Linked DNA regions of Oryctolagus cuniculus. The protein of the gene in region 1 interacts with the protein of each later gene in a pairwise test. Links are inferred from orthologs where the notes say so. Each region holds a gene or a part of one and is shown in the gene's direction. Other genes may lie near its edges.

Evidence for each region. The genes of interacting proteins can lie anywhere in the genome.
Region 2: the proteins of ARMC7 (region 1) and TNFAIP1 interact in binary tests that used the Homo sapiens proteins (3 or more experiments, as listed by UniProt). The link is inferred for Oryctolagus cuniculus from reciprocal best matches to the Homo sapiens genes ARMC7 and TNFAIP1.

What each region holds. Positions count from the first base shown.
Region 1 is NC_091448.1:5,403,240-5,411,507, reverse strand, and holds the start of ARMC7 (armadillo repeat-containing protein 7), read left to right. Parts: upstream 1-3,777; 5' UTR 3,778-3,973; coding exon 3,974-4,064; intron 4,065-4,550; coding exon 4,551-4,694; intron 4,695-6,058; coding exon of another isoform or gene 6,059-6,087; exon of another isoform or gene 6,088-7,375; intron 7,376-8,268. UniProt on the Homo sapiens protein: As a component of the minor spliceosome, involved in the splicing of U12-type introns in pre-mRNAs.
Region 2 is NC_091448.1:43,886,409-43,892,735, forward strand, and holds the start of TNFAIP1 (BTB/POZ domain-containing adapter for CUL3-mediated RhoA degradation protein 2), read left to right. Parts: upstream 1-1,462; 5' UTR 1,463-1,664; intron 1,665-4,486; 5' UTR 4,487-4,598; coding exon 4,599-4,803; intron 4,804-5,308; coding exon 5,309-5,478; intron 5,479-5,849; coding exon 5,850-5,939; intron 5,940-6,014; coding exon 6,015-6,067; intron 6,068-6,327. UniProt on the Homo sapiens protein: Substrate-specific adapter of a BCR (BTB-CUL3-RBX1) E3 ubiquitin-protein ligase complex involved in regulation of cytoskeleton structure.

The sequences.
Region 1 (8,268 bases):
TCCAGGAAGAGGTAAGGGTGCGGCCTGGGAGTGGCTCAGCAAACACCTCTGCCACCAAGGGCAAGGGACTGGGTCCTTAAGTTCTCTTCTGGTCTAGGCTCCTCCTCCCCAGGCCAAAGGACACAGGGCATTGCGATAGCTCCTGGACGACAGAGACAGGAATCAAACCCCTACTTTCACATGGCACAGAGTTCAGTGGAGGGAGGCCTGGCAGCCCTGAGGGTGCTCTAACTCGCTCTCTGTCCCCCAGGCCTCCTCCTGGACGCCAGCAACAACTTCAGCTACGTTTTCTACCTGTCCAGCTTCTTCCTCATCTCAGCCGCCCTCTTCATGGGGGGCAGCTTCTACGCCCTACGGAAGACAGAGCAAGGCAGGCGAGCCAAGGCGGAAGGAGCCGTCCGGAAGGCTGCCCTGCCGCAGGCTCTGAACCCCAAAGGCAAAGAGACTTCAGAGAAGCAGCCATGTCTTGAGATCACATACGTGACCAGTGTCTGAGCCTCACAGGTCACGCGTGTGACCAGCTTCTGAGCCCCGAGATCAGTACATGGCCACTCTCTCAGCAGAGACTTGCGACCTCCGGCGGCTTCGCCAGGGGTGAAGGGCAGCCCAGGAAGCCCGAGTCCAAGGCTGTCCAGACTCTCCAGGGGCCTGGAGGATGGCCTCTGCAGACAGACCCAGGGCCCTTCCCCGCAGCCGGATTGAGGGGGTGGCTCTCCTGACTTTTCCAAGGGGACCAGGGGACCTAGGACCAGCAAGCTGGGGCCGAGCCCTGCTCAGGACTGTCCCAGACGTTCAGTTCAGCTGGCTGCCTTGCTGCTCCTACAACTCGACACACTGGACTTTCACCTCCAACCGGGATACCACGGACATCATCCCTCTTTGTGCTTCTTGGGCTTCTGGACAATTCGGAAGAGTTCACCCTGCTCCCGGGGCCCGCCCTACTCCCTCTTCCCAAGGGACCCAGGAGTCAGTCCCTTAGGAAGGCCAACACTGAGGGTGGGGCTGCCCCAGCCAGGGTTGCTGGAGCCCGTGAGAGGTGCTGAGTCGGCCCCAGGTGCAGGATGGGGACAGTTCACAGGTCCAGTGAGTGCCTTGCCTGGCCCTGTGCAGAGAGCAGGAGGGGAGCCCCTGGCTGGGGTCCCGGGAGTGAGGGGCTCCCCAAGAGTCTTAGAGTCTCAGCAGGACCTGACTCGGGGCCCCCCACCCTCAGTGGGGAAGAAGACTCTGGGGTGGAGAAGCCGGACACTGTCCAGGGGAGGGGAAGTCTTGCTGGGCAGCTTGAGGACCACTGTGAAGACAGGGCTGCTTCTCCAACAGACTCCCGCCCCCTCCGCCCCTCCGCCCCTCCGCCCCTGCTGTGTCAGAGGGGTGAACCCCAGGCTGAGCAGCTGGCTGGGCCAGCTGCCTGGCCACCCCTGCTCCCTGCACTGTGCCCTGGAGGGCAGAGCCCTCCCCGCCACAAACACGTTGCTGGCGCCCTTCCCTGAGGTCGCCACCCCCCTGAGCGCCGGCTGCCGTCAGCCCAGGCTTGTCCCAGCAGGGAGCCGGGGGAATGGGAAAACACAGTGTGTTTGAATTGCACACACGACCATTCCCTGCAGCCAGTCATCAACTCCGAGCTAATACAGCTGGAAGGCAGGCCTGGCGTGAGAGCCCCCTCCTCTTTCTCCCAACCTGGCAGGGGCTGCCCGGGCTCAGGCCCTTGTTTGTTGACTCAGGCTCAACCAGGCTCCAGCAAGAAAATGTTATCAGGAGGATTGATTTTATTTTCATGACCCAGCCTCAGCCTGCCTCCATCACGTGTGCTCTAGCGTGAATAAGCATCCTTGGGAATGGTCCGCGAGCCAACTCCAGGACTCTGCCATGAGTGCCCCCTAATGGCCAAAGGAGGCAGTGCAGAGGCAAAGCCAAAGACGGCTGGGATAGAGGTGGGATTTCACTTTTGTGCCAAGATACGCTGTGTGACTTCAGGCAAACGGTCACCATCTCTGGGCCTTGGAAAGGGAAGGAGTTAACCTGGAGAGTTAAGCCTCTTCCAGTCTGGAGAGTCTGGATTTGAGTGTATTGAAGCCACACCTTCGGGCTCCCCGTTCATTCCTGTGCTTGGCCACAGGCATAGCTTGTGCTCTCAACAAGACCGCTTGGACACATCTCCCCAGGGTCTCTGCACCTGGACTGGTGGGAAGGGAGCGAGCAGGGGCGGCAGGCAGGTGCATTTGGTGCTGGTGTGCACCAGGCTTTGATGAGGTGTGCAGCCCTGTGCCACTTCCACAAAACAGGGGAGTGAGCACTCAGCACAGAAAGCGAGACGCTCGCCTGCCCCCAGGAAGGATTGGCAATAACCCCCAGGCAGAACCCCTCCCACACACACTTACGAAGCACCACCGTGCGCCAGGCACTGGGCAGAGAGGGGCAGCAAGTTCTGCACAAAACCAAGGATTGGGAGTTCTCCAAGCAGGCCCTGAGGCCTTAGGAAGGGATAAGACCAGACACTGGGGGAGGCTGGGTTGCCCATCGGGCACCAAAACCTGCGGGTGTTTTCCTGGGAAAGCAGTTCCTGGCCAGAGAAGGGAGGAGCTCACCTCCGTGTGCCCTCAAGCCCCAGGCTCCTGGTCCCCAGGCCTTCGCTGCTCTGTCCAGCAACAGGCGGGAAGTCCCCTGGCTAAGACACACTTTCCCAGGCCATCCAGGATCCCCACAGAGTCAAAGGACAAAGGGCAGCTATGGTACCCAAGCACCAAGGCCAAGGTCAGAATGGCGCTGTGGCACAACTGGTTAAATCCACGGCCTATAGTGTCGGCATCCCATGTGGGTGCCGGTTCGTGTCCCAGCTCCTCCACTTCCAACCCAGCTCCCTGCTAATGTGCCTGGGAAAGCAGAGGAAGATGGCCCAAGTCCCTAGGCCCCTGCACCCACACGGGAGACCCAGAAGAAACTCCTGGCTCCTGGCTTCGGATCGGCACAGCTCCGGCCGTTGCGGCCATCTGGGGAGTGAACCAGCAGATGGAAGACCTCTCTCTCTCTCTGTCTCTACCTCTCTCTCTAACTCTGTCTTTCAAATAAATAAAATAAACCTTTAAAGAAGAAGAAGGTGTGCATAGGGCAGGGCTGCAGCCTGCGTCCACCGCAGCTGTACTTGGCCCAGGGATGCAGCCACATTCCTTGGCCCCAGGAGCTCACAGCTCCAAGCACCATGGGGATGTGGCAAGGCCTCCTTTCCTGGTGCTGTTCTCTCCTGAGAAGCTCCGAGGAGTCAGACCAAAGGGCTTCAGGATCCCGGGCCCAACAACGCAGAAAGCTGCAGCGGTCCACAGGGGCGAGCTGAGGCTCCTTCCAGGGCCCTCCGGTGCTGCCCGGGACAACCCAGCTGTCAGAGGCTTAGGGCAGGACCCCAGTCCTCGGGACTTCGGGTCAGAGGTGGAGGGCCCCAATGGGGTCAGAGCGGAGTCGGCCGGACTTGAAATCCTGAAGGGTCGCAGGGAGCCGACGCTGAGGCTCCAGGGGGACGTCTAGGGGAGAAGGCTGGGCTGCGACCGCCAGCGGGTGTGGGGAGTGTGCGTCTGCCTCGACAGCCCCCTATGTGGGCACCCCCAGATTCTGCGGCACTCCTGGGTCGCCCCGGCTCCTCGCCGCATACCCGACCGCGCACCTGTCTGCCGCGCGCGTCCCCGCGGGCCCGGAGCTCATTGCGCACGCGAGCCGAAGAGCTCCGTGACGGCCCCGCCCCTTCTCGCCTCGCCCCGCCCCGTCTCTCCCCGCCCCGCCCCTTCCGCCCTCCGGGGGCGGGACTAGCGCGGCTTCCGGCCGGGACTCTGACAGGATCCTGAGGGTCCCGCCTCCCACTTGCCGTTTCGAGCTGCGGATTCTCGCAGGACCTGAGCCCCCCGGCCGCTGCGGTGAGGGTCTCACGCGGCTGTCCAGGCTGCCTTCTGCCCTTGTCCCACCGGGCCCAGGAGCGCTCGGCCGCCCCGCCATGGCCCAGAAGCCCAAGGTGGACCCCCACGTCGGGCGGCTGGGATACCTGCAGGCGCTCGTCACGGAATTCCAGGAGACCGCGAGCAAAGGTGAGAGCCGCGGGTGGGCGCCGCCGCGAGCCGAGGGGAGAGCCGAGGGGAGGGCGCGGGTGGGCGCCGCGAGCCGAGGGGAGAGCCGCGGGTGGGCGCCGAGGGGAGAGCCGCGGGTGGGCGCCGCCGCGAGCCGAGGGGAGAGCCGAGGGGAGGCCGCGGGTGGGCGCCGCCGCGAGCCGAGGGGAGAGCTGAGGGGAGGGCCGCGAGCCGAGGGGAGGGCCGCGGGTGGGCGCCGAGGGGAGAGCCGAGGGGAGGCCGCGGGTGGGCGCCGAGAGCCGAGGGGAGGGCCGCGGGTGGGCGCCGAGAGCCGAGGGGAGGCCGCGGGTGGGCCGGCGCGAGCCGAGGGGAGGGTCGCGGGTGGGCGCCGGCGCGGGGGCCGAGGGGAGGGCCGCGGGTGGGCGCCGCGAGCCGAGGGGAGGCCGCGGGTGGGCCGGCGCGGGGCCGCCGCCCGGGACCGGCTCCAGGGTCGCTTTCCCGTTGCAGACGCCAAGGAGCAGGTCCTCGCCAACCTGGCCAACTTCGCCTATGACCCCAGCAACTTCCAGTACCTGCGGCAGCTTCAGGTCCCGGATTTGTTCCTGGACTCGCTGTCGGAGGAGAACGAGACCCTGGTGGAGTTCGCTATGGGTAAGGGGGGCCGGACCCGACACCTGCGGGGCTGCCGCGCGATGGGAGGGTTGCAAGGGAGTCGTCGGCAAAGCGGCCTTTAGGGGCCCCCCTTGTCGCCCCACAGGCCATCAGGTCACAGCTAATGTGCGGGAGTGCGGGGGTCCCACCCAGGCCCCACCCTCTGCCTAGAGATGGGATCGCAGACAGGGAATGGGAGGGAGCAGCTTGGAGGTGGATCTTTAATGCGACGATAATGTAGACTTTAAAGTCTTTGTCGTTTACTGAAAGGCAGAGAGAGAGAGATTGAGAGATTGCACCCACTGGTTCGCTCTGCAAATGGCCACAACTTCTCCCAGGTCTAGGCCAGGCCAGGCCAGGGCCAGGATCCGGGACCTTCATCCCTCAGGTCCCCACAGGGGCAACAAGGGCCCAGCACTGCCTTCCCGGCTGGATCAGAAGCAGAGCAGCTGGGACTTGAGGCAGGACTCCCGCCAGTTGGCCCACTGCGCCCTCATCCCTGTCCTCGTGCAGAAATGTTTGAAGTCCATACATAGGTTTTTTTGTGAGACTTTTTCATGAACTTGTAATTAATTAATTAATTTGAGAGGCAGAGAGACAGACAGAGCTTCCATCTGCTGTTTTACTCCTCAAATGACAGAAATAGTCAGGGCTGGTCCAGGCCAAAGCTGGGGGCCAGGAATTCTATCCAGGTCCCCCCCCATGAGTGTCACGGATCCGACTACTTGAACCCCTCATACAGTGCCTGCCCAGTGAATACAAGGATATTTCAGCAAGTTAATGGGAAGTGGAGTTAAAATATAAGGGTGTTTTTGGTGCAATTAAAAAAATTAAATTTTTTTCATAATGCACATATTCTATGAATTTTTAAAAATATTTCCCCCCACTCTACTGTACTCTTCTCTTCCTTCCTTCTTTCCTTTTTTTCTTTTCTTTTTTTTTAAGATTTATTTTATTTATTTGAAAGAGTTAGAGAGGTCTTCCATCCGCTGGCTCACTCCCCAAATGACCGCAGCAGCCAGAGCTGAGCTGATCCAAAGCCAGGAGTTTCTTCCAGGTCTCCCACATGGGTGCAGGGGCCCAAGGACCTGGGCCATCTTCTATTGCTTTCCCAGGCCACAGCAAGGAGTTGGATCAGAAGTGAAGCAGCCAGGACTTGAACTGGCGCCCATATGGGGTGCTGGAGCTGCAGGCCAGGGCTTTAACCTGCTGCACCACAGCGCCAGCCCCTTTTTTAAAAAAAAAAAAAATTTACTTATTTGGGGGACCAGTGCTGTGGCACAGTGGGTTAAAGCCCTGGCCTGAAGCGCCAGCATCCCATATGGGTGTTGATTCTAGTCCTGGCTGTTCCACTTCCAATCCAGCTCTCTGCTATGGCCTGGGAAAGCAGTAGAAAACGGCCCCCCTGCACCCACGTGGGAAACCCAGAAGAAGCTCCTGGCTTCAGATCGGTGCAGCTCCAGCCATTGCGGCCATCTGGGGAGTGAACCAGCAGACGGAAGACCTCTCTCTCTGTCTCTACCTCTCTGTGTAACTCTGTCTTTCAAATAAATAAAATAAATCTTAAAAAATAAGTTTATTTATTTGAGGCCAGCACTGTGGTGTAGTATGCTAAGTCTCTGCCTGCAGCGTCAGCATCTCTTACGGGCACCGGTTTGAGTCCTGGCTGCTCCTCTTCTGACCCAGCTCCCTGCTAATGCTCCTGGAAAGAAAGCAGCAGAGGAGCGCCCAAGTGCTTGGGCCCCTGCACCCATGTGGGAGACCCAGAAGAAGTTCCTGGCTCCTGGCTCCTGATTGGCCCAATTCCAGCTATTGCGGCCATTTGGGGAGTGAACCAGCAGATGGAAGATATCGCTCTCTCTCTCTCTCTCTCTCTGTAACTCTGCCCTTCAAATAAATAAATAAATAATCTTAAAAAATATTTATTTATTTATTTGAATGGCAGAGTTATATAGAGAGGGAACAAAAGAGACAGAAAACAAGCTAGATATTCCATTGGCTGATTCACTCCTCGGATGCTGCGATAGCTGGAGCTGGGCTGATCTGAAGGCCAGGAATTTCTTCTGGGTCTCTCACATGGATGCAGGGGCCCAAGCACTTGGGCCGTCCCCTGCTGTTTTTCCAGGAGCATTAGCAGGGAGCTGGGTCAGAAGTGGAGCCGCTGGGATATGAACCTACGCCATTGTGCTGGGCCTTACAAAAATTCATATATTTATATATTTTTCATAATATACATATTCCATACATTTTTTGAGGATCCCCCTCACTTTTTAAAAGATATTTATTTATTTGAAAGGCAGAGTTGGCCGGCGCCGCGGCTCACTAGGCTAATCCTCCGCCTAGCGGCGCCGGCACACCGGGTTCTAGTCCCGGTTGGGGCGCCGGATTCTGTCCCGGTTGCCCCTCTTCCAGGCCAGCCCTCTGCTGTGGCCAGGGAGTGCAGTGGAGGATGGCCCAGGTGCTTGGGCCCTGCACCCCATGGGAGACCAGGAAAAGCACCTGGCTCCTGGCTCCTGCCATCGGATCAGCGCGGTGCGCCGGCCGCTGCGCGCCAGCCGCGGCGGCCATTGGAGGGTGAATCAACGGCAAAAGGAAGACCTTTCTCTCTGTCTCTCTCTCTCTCTCACTGTCCACTCTGCCTGTCAAAAAATAAAAAAAATAAAATAAAATAAAATAAAAAAAATGAAAGGCAGAGTTACAGAGAGAGAGGGAGAGATACAGAGATCTTCCATCCATTGGTTCACTCCCCAAATGGCCACAACAGCCGGGGCTGGGCCAGGCCGAAGCCGGGAACCAGGAGCTTCATCAGAGTCTCCCACATGGGGACAGGGGCCCAGGAACTTGGGTCATCTTCAGCTGTTTCCCTAGGCACATTAGCAGGGAGCGTGATCAGAAATGGAGCAGTAGGGACTTGAACGCACACCCATGTGGGATGCCGACATGGCAGGGTGCTGCTACACCACAACACCGGCTCCGCCCCCTCACTCTTTAAGCCAGGTTCTGTTCTGAATGTTGGGGAGATGTTGAGCAACGGGTTCTGCCTACAGGAGCTTACATTCTAGAAGGGGAGACGTGGGGAGCACATTAAAATGATGCTGCTCGGGGGGAAGTCAACAGGAGGGGGACAACTTCCGTGTTGGCCATGATGGGCAGGCACACTCGGCAGAGGTGCAGAAGCCGTGAAGGAGCAGAGGGAAAGCAGGCGCGGCAGGACGGCGGGGAGAGACCTGGAAAATGGCGCCAAACGAGGCTGCTGGCAGCGGAGCTGGCCAGGGCTTACATCTGACCGTGGGGATGAGTTTGGCATTTATTATGAGAGCAAACACAAATTATTTTTTCAGCATGCAGTTTTTAAGATTTATTTATTTGAAAGTCAGAGTTACACAGGGAGAGAGGAGAGGCAGAGAGAGAGAGGTCTTCCATCCACTGGTTCACTCCCCAGATGGCCACAATGGCTGGAGCTGTGCCGATCTGAAGCCAGGAGCCAGGAGCTGCTTCTGGGTCTCCCACGTGGGTGTAGAGGCCCAAGGCCTTGGGCCATCTTCTACTGCTTTCCCAGACCATAGTGGAGAGC
Region 2 (6,327 bases), about 38 Mb from region 1:
ATGGGAGACCAGGATGGAGTCCCAGGCTCCTAGCTTTGGCCTGGCCCAGCCCCACTGTTGCAATCATTTGGGGGGTGATCCAGCATAGCAAAGATTCTCTAACTCTACCTTTCAAACAAACAAATCTTTTTTTTAAAATAATCACTCTGGGGGCTAGCACTGTGGCACAGTAGGCTAAGCCGCTGCCTGCAGTGCCAGCATCCCTTTTGGGCGCCGGTTTGAGTCCTGGCTGCTCCACTTCTGATCCAGCTCTCTGCTATGGCCTGGGAAAGCAGTGGAAGATGGCCCAAGTGCTTGGGCCCCTGCACCCGTGTGGGAGACCTGGAAGAAGCTCCTGGCTCCGGATCGGCGCAGCTCCGGCCGTTGCAGTCATCTGGGGAGTGAACCAGCAGATGGAAGACCCCTCTCTCTGTTTGTAACTCTACCTCTCAAATAAATCTTAAAAATAAATAAAAAACCACTCTGCCTCAGAAGACCAGGAAGGCGAGCACACCTACTGTGTTCATCACTGCAACCCTAGCACCCAGCACGGTGCCTGCACAGTCGGCACTCCGTGGACATCTGTGGGATGACCAGTGGCTGTGCAAGCAGCCGGAGGCCACTACAGCAGCCCAGCACCTGGAGGCCGGCGTTCTGGGTTGAGATGTTTCTGTAAGTCGATTTGCTAGGACTTAGAGGGGCTTGACTGGAGGAGGGGATGAGTGAAGCGGTCGGGCATGAATCCCTTGCACCTGGGAGGGGTAGCTGAATGAGTCACCTGAGACGGGAGAAGGGTTGAAGGAGAGGCTTCCCAGCTGCCCATCAGATTCCATCCCAATTCCCACTACACGCGGCGGAGCGCCGGGGTGAGGGCGGAAACGCCTCACCACGATCCATGCTTGGCATCAGGCACAGGCCCCGTTCCTGGGGTTGGAGGAAGCACGAGGCTGAGTCCGGAGGGCCTGACACTGTCTTTACTGCGCAAACCCGTTGGATTTACACGAGTCCCCGCTTCCTAAGACCACGCTCAAGCTCCAGGCCCAACCTGAGTGTGAAACGCTCGCGAAGGGACGGGCGGAATTCCTAAGTTTCTTTCAGCCTGGAACAGCCTTTCCTCAACAGCGGGTCTGTCCAGTTCCTCTAGACCCAGCTGCCCCCGACCCGAGGTCACGACCTACCTGCCCACCCGTAGCGGTGGTGCGCTGCGGCCCAGGCTGATGTTGACAGGCAGCTCCTCTCGGCGGTGGGCAGCAGTCAGTGCCTGGCCGGCTCGCCTCTCCTCAGCCGCTGCCACGGCTACAAAACCTGTTTATCCACAACGTCACTTCCGGACACCGGAAGCACTCACACCCGTTCATCCTACAGGGCCTGCTGGGAAACAGAGGCCCGAAGGGAAGGATGACTGCCTACAAGATCCAGAGGCCTTTGCGCCTGCAGGGCTACCGGAAGTGGCTATGCTCTTGCCCGGAAGATCCTCCGGGAATTTCCGCCTCCCCTCCCTGTTAGAGTGCTGTGCATGCCGGGCTTTGTAGTCTCAGGCTTATGGCCCGCTGCTCCGGGAGGAGTCGACCGGCGCAGGATGTGAGCTCACAGCTCGGGATTGCTGGCGGGCAGGCAGCCACAGGTCAGAGACGGCACGGAGTTCGCTCGCCCCCCAGCTGAGAGGAGAGGAGCCCCCGGCGACGGTGAGAGTCGGGCCTCGGCTGGAGCAAAGACTGCCCGCCGGGTCCTGGGAAGCAGGGGTGGGACGGCGCAGCGGAGATGCAGAGCTGGTCTCGGTTCCTTGGTAGTGAGGGGGGCGGGCTGGGCAAGAGCCTACGCTGGCCACGGGAGAGGCTGGCCGTGGCCGAATTTCTCCAGGACCTTGCAGCCTAAGCCTCACACCTAGGATTTCTGCTGGGTCCACCCTCTATAGCCAAGATCAGCTCACGGCTTCCCCAACACCCACCCGCCCCCGGCCCCCCGTGCGTGACGGGTTTCTAGATCCTTCTTCCTTTGGGATCCAACCGCGGTCCACCGCTTTGGTTGTCTGCCTTTTGTTCGCAGAGTGGGAAATGGATCCGCCCCTAGCCCCAGGCATCCCCAAATACCCACAAAGTCCGGAAGGAAGAGTATTGAGTGGAAACTTCATTGTCGCTGGAATTACTTTCTGGGGCGGCACCTGCCGCAGGATTCCTGGAACTCATTGGTCTGAATGGAATCTGAGCTGACGTCAGCCAGGAACAGTTGCTTTGCAGGAAAGGAATAGATTAGCTGTGGATTTGTCTTCCTCTCCTGGCAAACCGCAGGCTTTCAGTACCTTTGCTTTGGGAGAAAATGCATGTGTTTTCTTTGACCTTGTTAAAAACTTTTCCTGGGTGGACTGATTGGTTTGGAGTCGGTGGGAGGTTAGGTCATCCGCTGTCCCAGTGGAGGTCTCGGCAGACTCCTGTTGAGGGCTTTTCTCATCCACACCGCATGCCTGCACAGTTCATCACTTCACAGGACACCCACTCTGGCCCTTTTGGGACATTCTTCCCAGGGACCTGCCTAAATCTTTTCAGGGACAATTTCAATCTGACGAACTGCCATGGACTTCAAAAGGTTCGTGGGAAGTCAAATTAAGAAAAATTTATTTTGGTGGAGAAAACATCTTGAAATCCATGTATAAAAGTGCAGGCCAGTGTGCAGAAAGACCGCGTGCGGAGTGGAGCGGCACAACTGGGGACACCAGTGCCATTTGTGGGCTGCACTTGGCGAGGCACACCGTCAGCTCCCGCGTGTGAGCATGGAGGGAGAGGATTCTGCCTTTTCTCTGCCTCTGTTCCCCCTGTGCTCCAAGTCTTCACCACTTTATGCCTGCACTACTGCTTCCTCTGGTCCTCCCACGGCCTCTGCACCCTTACAATCCATTCTCTACACCGCACCCAGAAGTATGGTTGCGATTATCTCACTCACCTGCTTAGAACCCTCCAGTGGATTCCTGCACTGCACTGCACTTGAAATAAAGCCCCAGCTCTTGGGCACCAGCTAGTACCCGCCTGCCTGCCTGCCACGGAACCAGAGTCAGTGCCAACTCCTATTTTCCTTTTTAAGTTCGTTAACATGAGGATGCTTAATTGAACTCCTTGAAAGCAAAGACTGTATTTTTCATTGTTCCCTACTGTTTCACAGGGTTGGCAGTCAGTAGTTTCACTGCTAAATGAATTAAATAATATACATTAAATGCCTAGAATAGTGCGTGGCACATGAAAACGCGCCTTAAGAGTCAGCTATGACATTCTCTTTAGATGAATTTTAGCGCTTCTCTAGGAAGCCAGAAGCATAATGTGGACTTGCAGTCGCGAGGGTGACTGGGTGGCTCCCTCCGCTCCTCCCGCCTGAGAGCTCCTGTTAGTGCTTTAATTTATACATCATGGCTGGCACCGCAGCTCACTAGGCTAATCCTCCACCTAGCGGCGCCGGCATACCGGGTTCTAGTCCCGGTCGGGGTGCCGGATTCTTTCCCGGTTGCCCCTCTTCCAGGCCAGCTCTCTGCTGTGGCCCGGGAGGGCAGTGGAGGATGGCCCAGGTGCTTGGGCCCTGCACCCCATGGGAGACCAGGAGAAGCACCTGGCTCCTGCCTTTGGATCAGCGCGGTGCACCGGCCGCAGCGCACCAGCCGTGGCGGCCATTGGAGGGTGAACCAACAGCAAAGGAAGACCTTTCTCTTTGTCTCTCTCACTATCCACTCTGTCAAAAAAAAAAAAAAAAAAAGAATTTATACATCATTTAATTGCTTTCAGATCTGTCATCTGATGTTCTGGTTCTGCCTCCTCATTCTTGGTGGAAAGCTTGAGAGGACGAGATAGGGCTGGGCTCCCACTTAGGAAAAAGAAGTGAAAATAGACGTCCTGTATTTGTTCTGCCCTGGCCAGTGGTGACAATTTCAGGAACTTGGAGCATTGCCAAGAAAAGGGACGGTCAGGAAATCCAAGTGGAACCTAGGTGACACTGCCGAAGACCCTGGCTAGGTCCCCCAGTCTGACTCACTCCATTGTCTCCTGAAGCTGCTTTTACTTTCCTTTCAAAACTCCAGGTGACGCTAAAGCAAGCACGGGCCCAGGACGCTCCTGCACCTGGTATCTCTAGAAAGGAAGTCCACCCTGTCCCTGTGGCTCCTGGGAAAGTCCTAGTTTGGCTGATGCCCAGCAGGTTTGGCTGGAAGTCTGGGTTCCTAGTTACCCTAAGAGAATAAATGGAATTCTGACTGGTAGATGCCCAGCAGGGGCTGTTCCTCAGGCCTAGGGCTGGCTTGTCTTCTTGCCACCTGAGGTGAGCTGATTCCAGGGAGCCTGGCAGGATGAGGCGGGCAGGGCTCTGGGAGCCTGTGCTTGTCTCTGGGGCGGTGAACAGCAGCAGGAAAGTCCAAATGTCGCCTCAGCAGCTGGGCTTGTTCCGGAGACGATGAGTGTGGCCAGGGCCCCTGCGGTTGCCCCTCCTGGTCCAAGGCCTCTATTCTGACTTCCATCTTCTCTCCCACTCACAGGGCTGAGCATGAGGTTCTGGCCTCCACGGGCCACTCACCTGTGACCACTTCCACCACGGCGGAGCCTTCCAAGCCTACCTCCTGCCGTGTGGTGATCTACCTGCAGCGGGAGATGTCGGGGGATACCTGTCTGTGCCCAGCCTCGGGGGCCAAGCCCAAGTTAAGCGGCTTCAAAGGAGGCGGGCTGGGCAACAAGTACGTGCAGCTCAATGTGGGTGGCTCCCTGTACTACACCACGGTGCGGGCTCTCACCCGGCACGACACCATGCTCAAGGCCATGTTCAGTGGGCGCATGGAGGTGCTGACGGACAAAGAAGGTGAGGCCCAAGGGCAGGGAGGGTGGGGAGGGGAGGACGGTTCTAGGGAAACAGCTCCGGGGTAGGGCTAGATCCCGAAGCCCGGCAGGTCCAGAACTACACTGCTTTCCTCTTCACCTGCAGTGCTCAGCAGAGCTTCCGAATTCTTTGAAATCATTACCTCTCATACTGGATAGTCACGGTTCCCACAGACAAGATCCGTACTTTTAAAATATTTAACTAGGACTAGATTTTCACGAGCCATCGCCAGTCTTGGGCTGTGGGCAGAAGGCAAGCAAGGAGCAATGGCTTCTGTGTTGCCAGTAGAGGCCCGAGGGCTCCCAAGAGCCTGCAGGCGTCTGTGCTGGCCCCCGTGCCAGTTCTTGGGTCCAGTGAGGGAGGGTGAAGAGCACTGTGGACCTGAGCACCCTGAGCTGCGGGCCGCTAGCTCGTCAGGCAGCCTTTGCCGGCTTCTGGGGTTCCGAGAGGTAGGAAGTAATCCTGTGGGGCCCATCTGAATCCCTAGGCTGGATCCTCATAGATCGATGTGGAAAGCACTTTGGCACCATTTTGAATTACCTCCGAGATGACACCATCACCCTCCCTCAAAACCGGCAAGAAATCAAGGAATTGATGGCTGAAGCAAAATATTACCTCATCCAGGGGCTGGTGAACATGTGCCAGACCGCCCTGCAGGTACGTGGCAGGGCTGGAGGCAGCTGCTGAGCCAGGCACTGCCCCTCCTTCAGGGATCTCAGGGTCCAGCTCCTGGGTGGAGGTAGCAGAGGAGGCACTGCCCAGGCCCAGCGACCTGGCGCCCAGCGCCTCACCTTAGCAGTACAGAGAGGCCTCGTTTGTTGATGTGCCCAGCCACCTGGGTTTTAGGCCTTCCAGAAAGGGGGTCTGCTTACTGCCCAGCAGTTCCTGTCTCCAGGGCCCTCATGATCTCAGTCAGATGCCTCCTCGCCCAGCCAAGGATGCCATGGCAGAGGGGCTCCAGGGTTACTTGGCTCAGACTGGCAAGCATAAATCCCAAGAGTTCTGTGCTCTGTATGCCACTCACGCAGGACAAGAAGGACTCCTACCAGCCTGTGTGTAACATTCCCATCATCACCTCCCTGAAGGAGGAGGAGCGGCTCATCGAGTCCTCCACCAAGGTACTGGGGCCCCCGGAGGGCTACGGGCAGGGACCCCAGGCCCCCGGCCAGGCCTGACTCCCTGCTCCCTCACAGCCCGTGGTGAAGCTGCTGTACAACAGAAGCAACAACAAATACTCCTACACCAGGTAGGCTGGCCGTCCCTGGGGCAGCGCTGCGGGAGCCGCTAAGAGGGCCAGGGGATGGCACTGACGGTGTGGCTCTGGGCCTCAGAACTGGTTCAAGTAAGGGGGGCAAGAATAGGGAGCGGAAGGGAAACTGGGACAGGGCCTGCTGGGCTGTGGGCAGTGGAACGTGAGCGCCACTGCAGCACGTCGTGCCCCACAGCGCGCCAGGCTGTCGGACGGAGCGGGAGGGGCCCCTAGGCCGCCCGCAGCCTCTCAGCCTC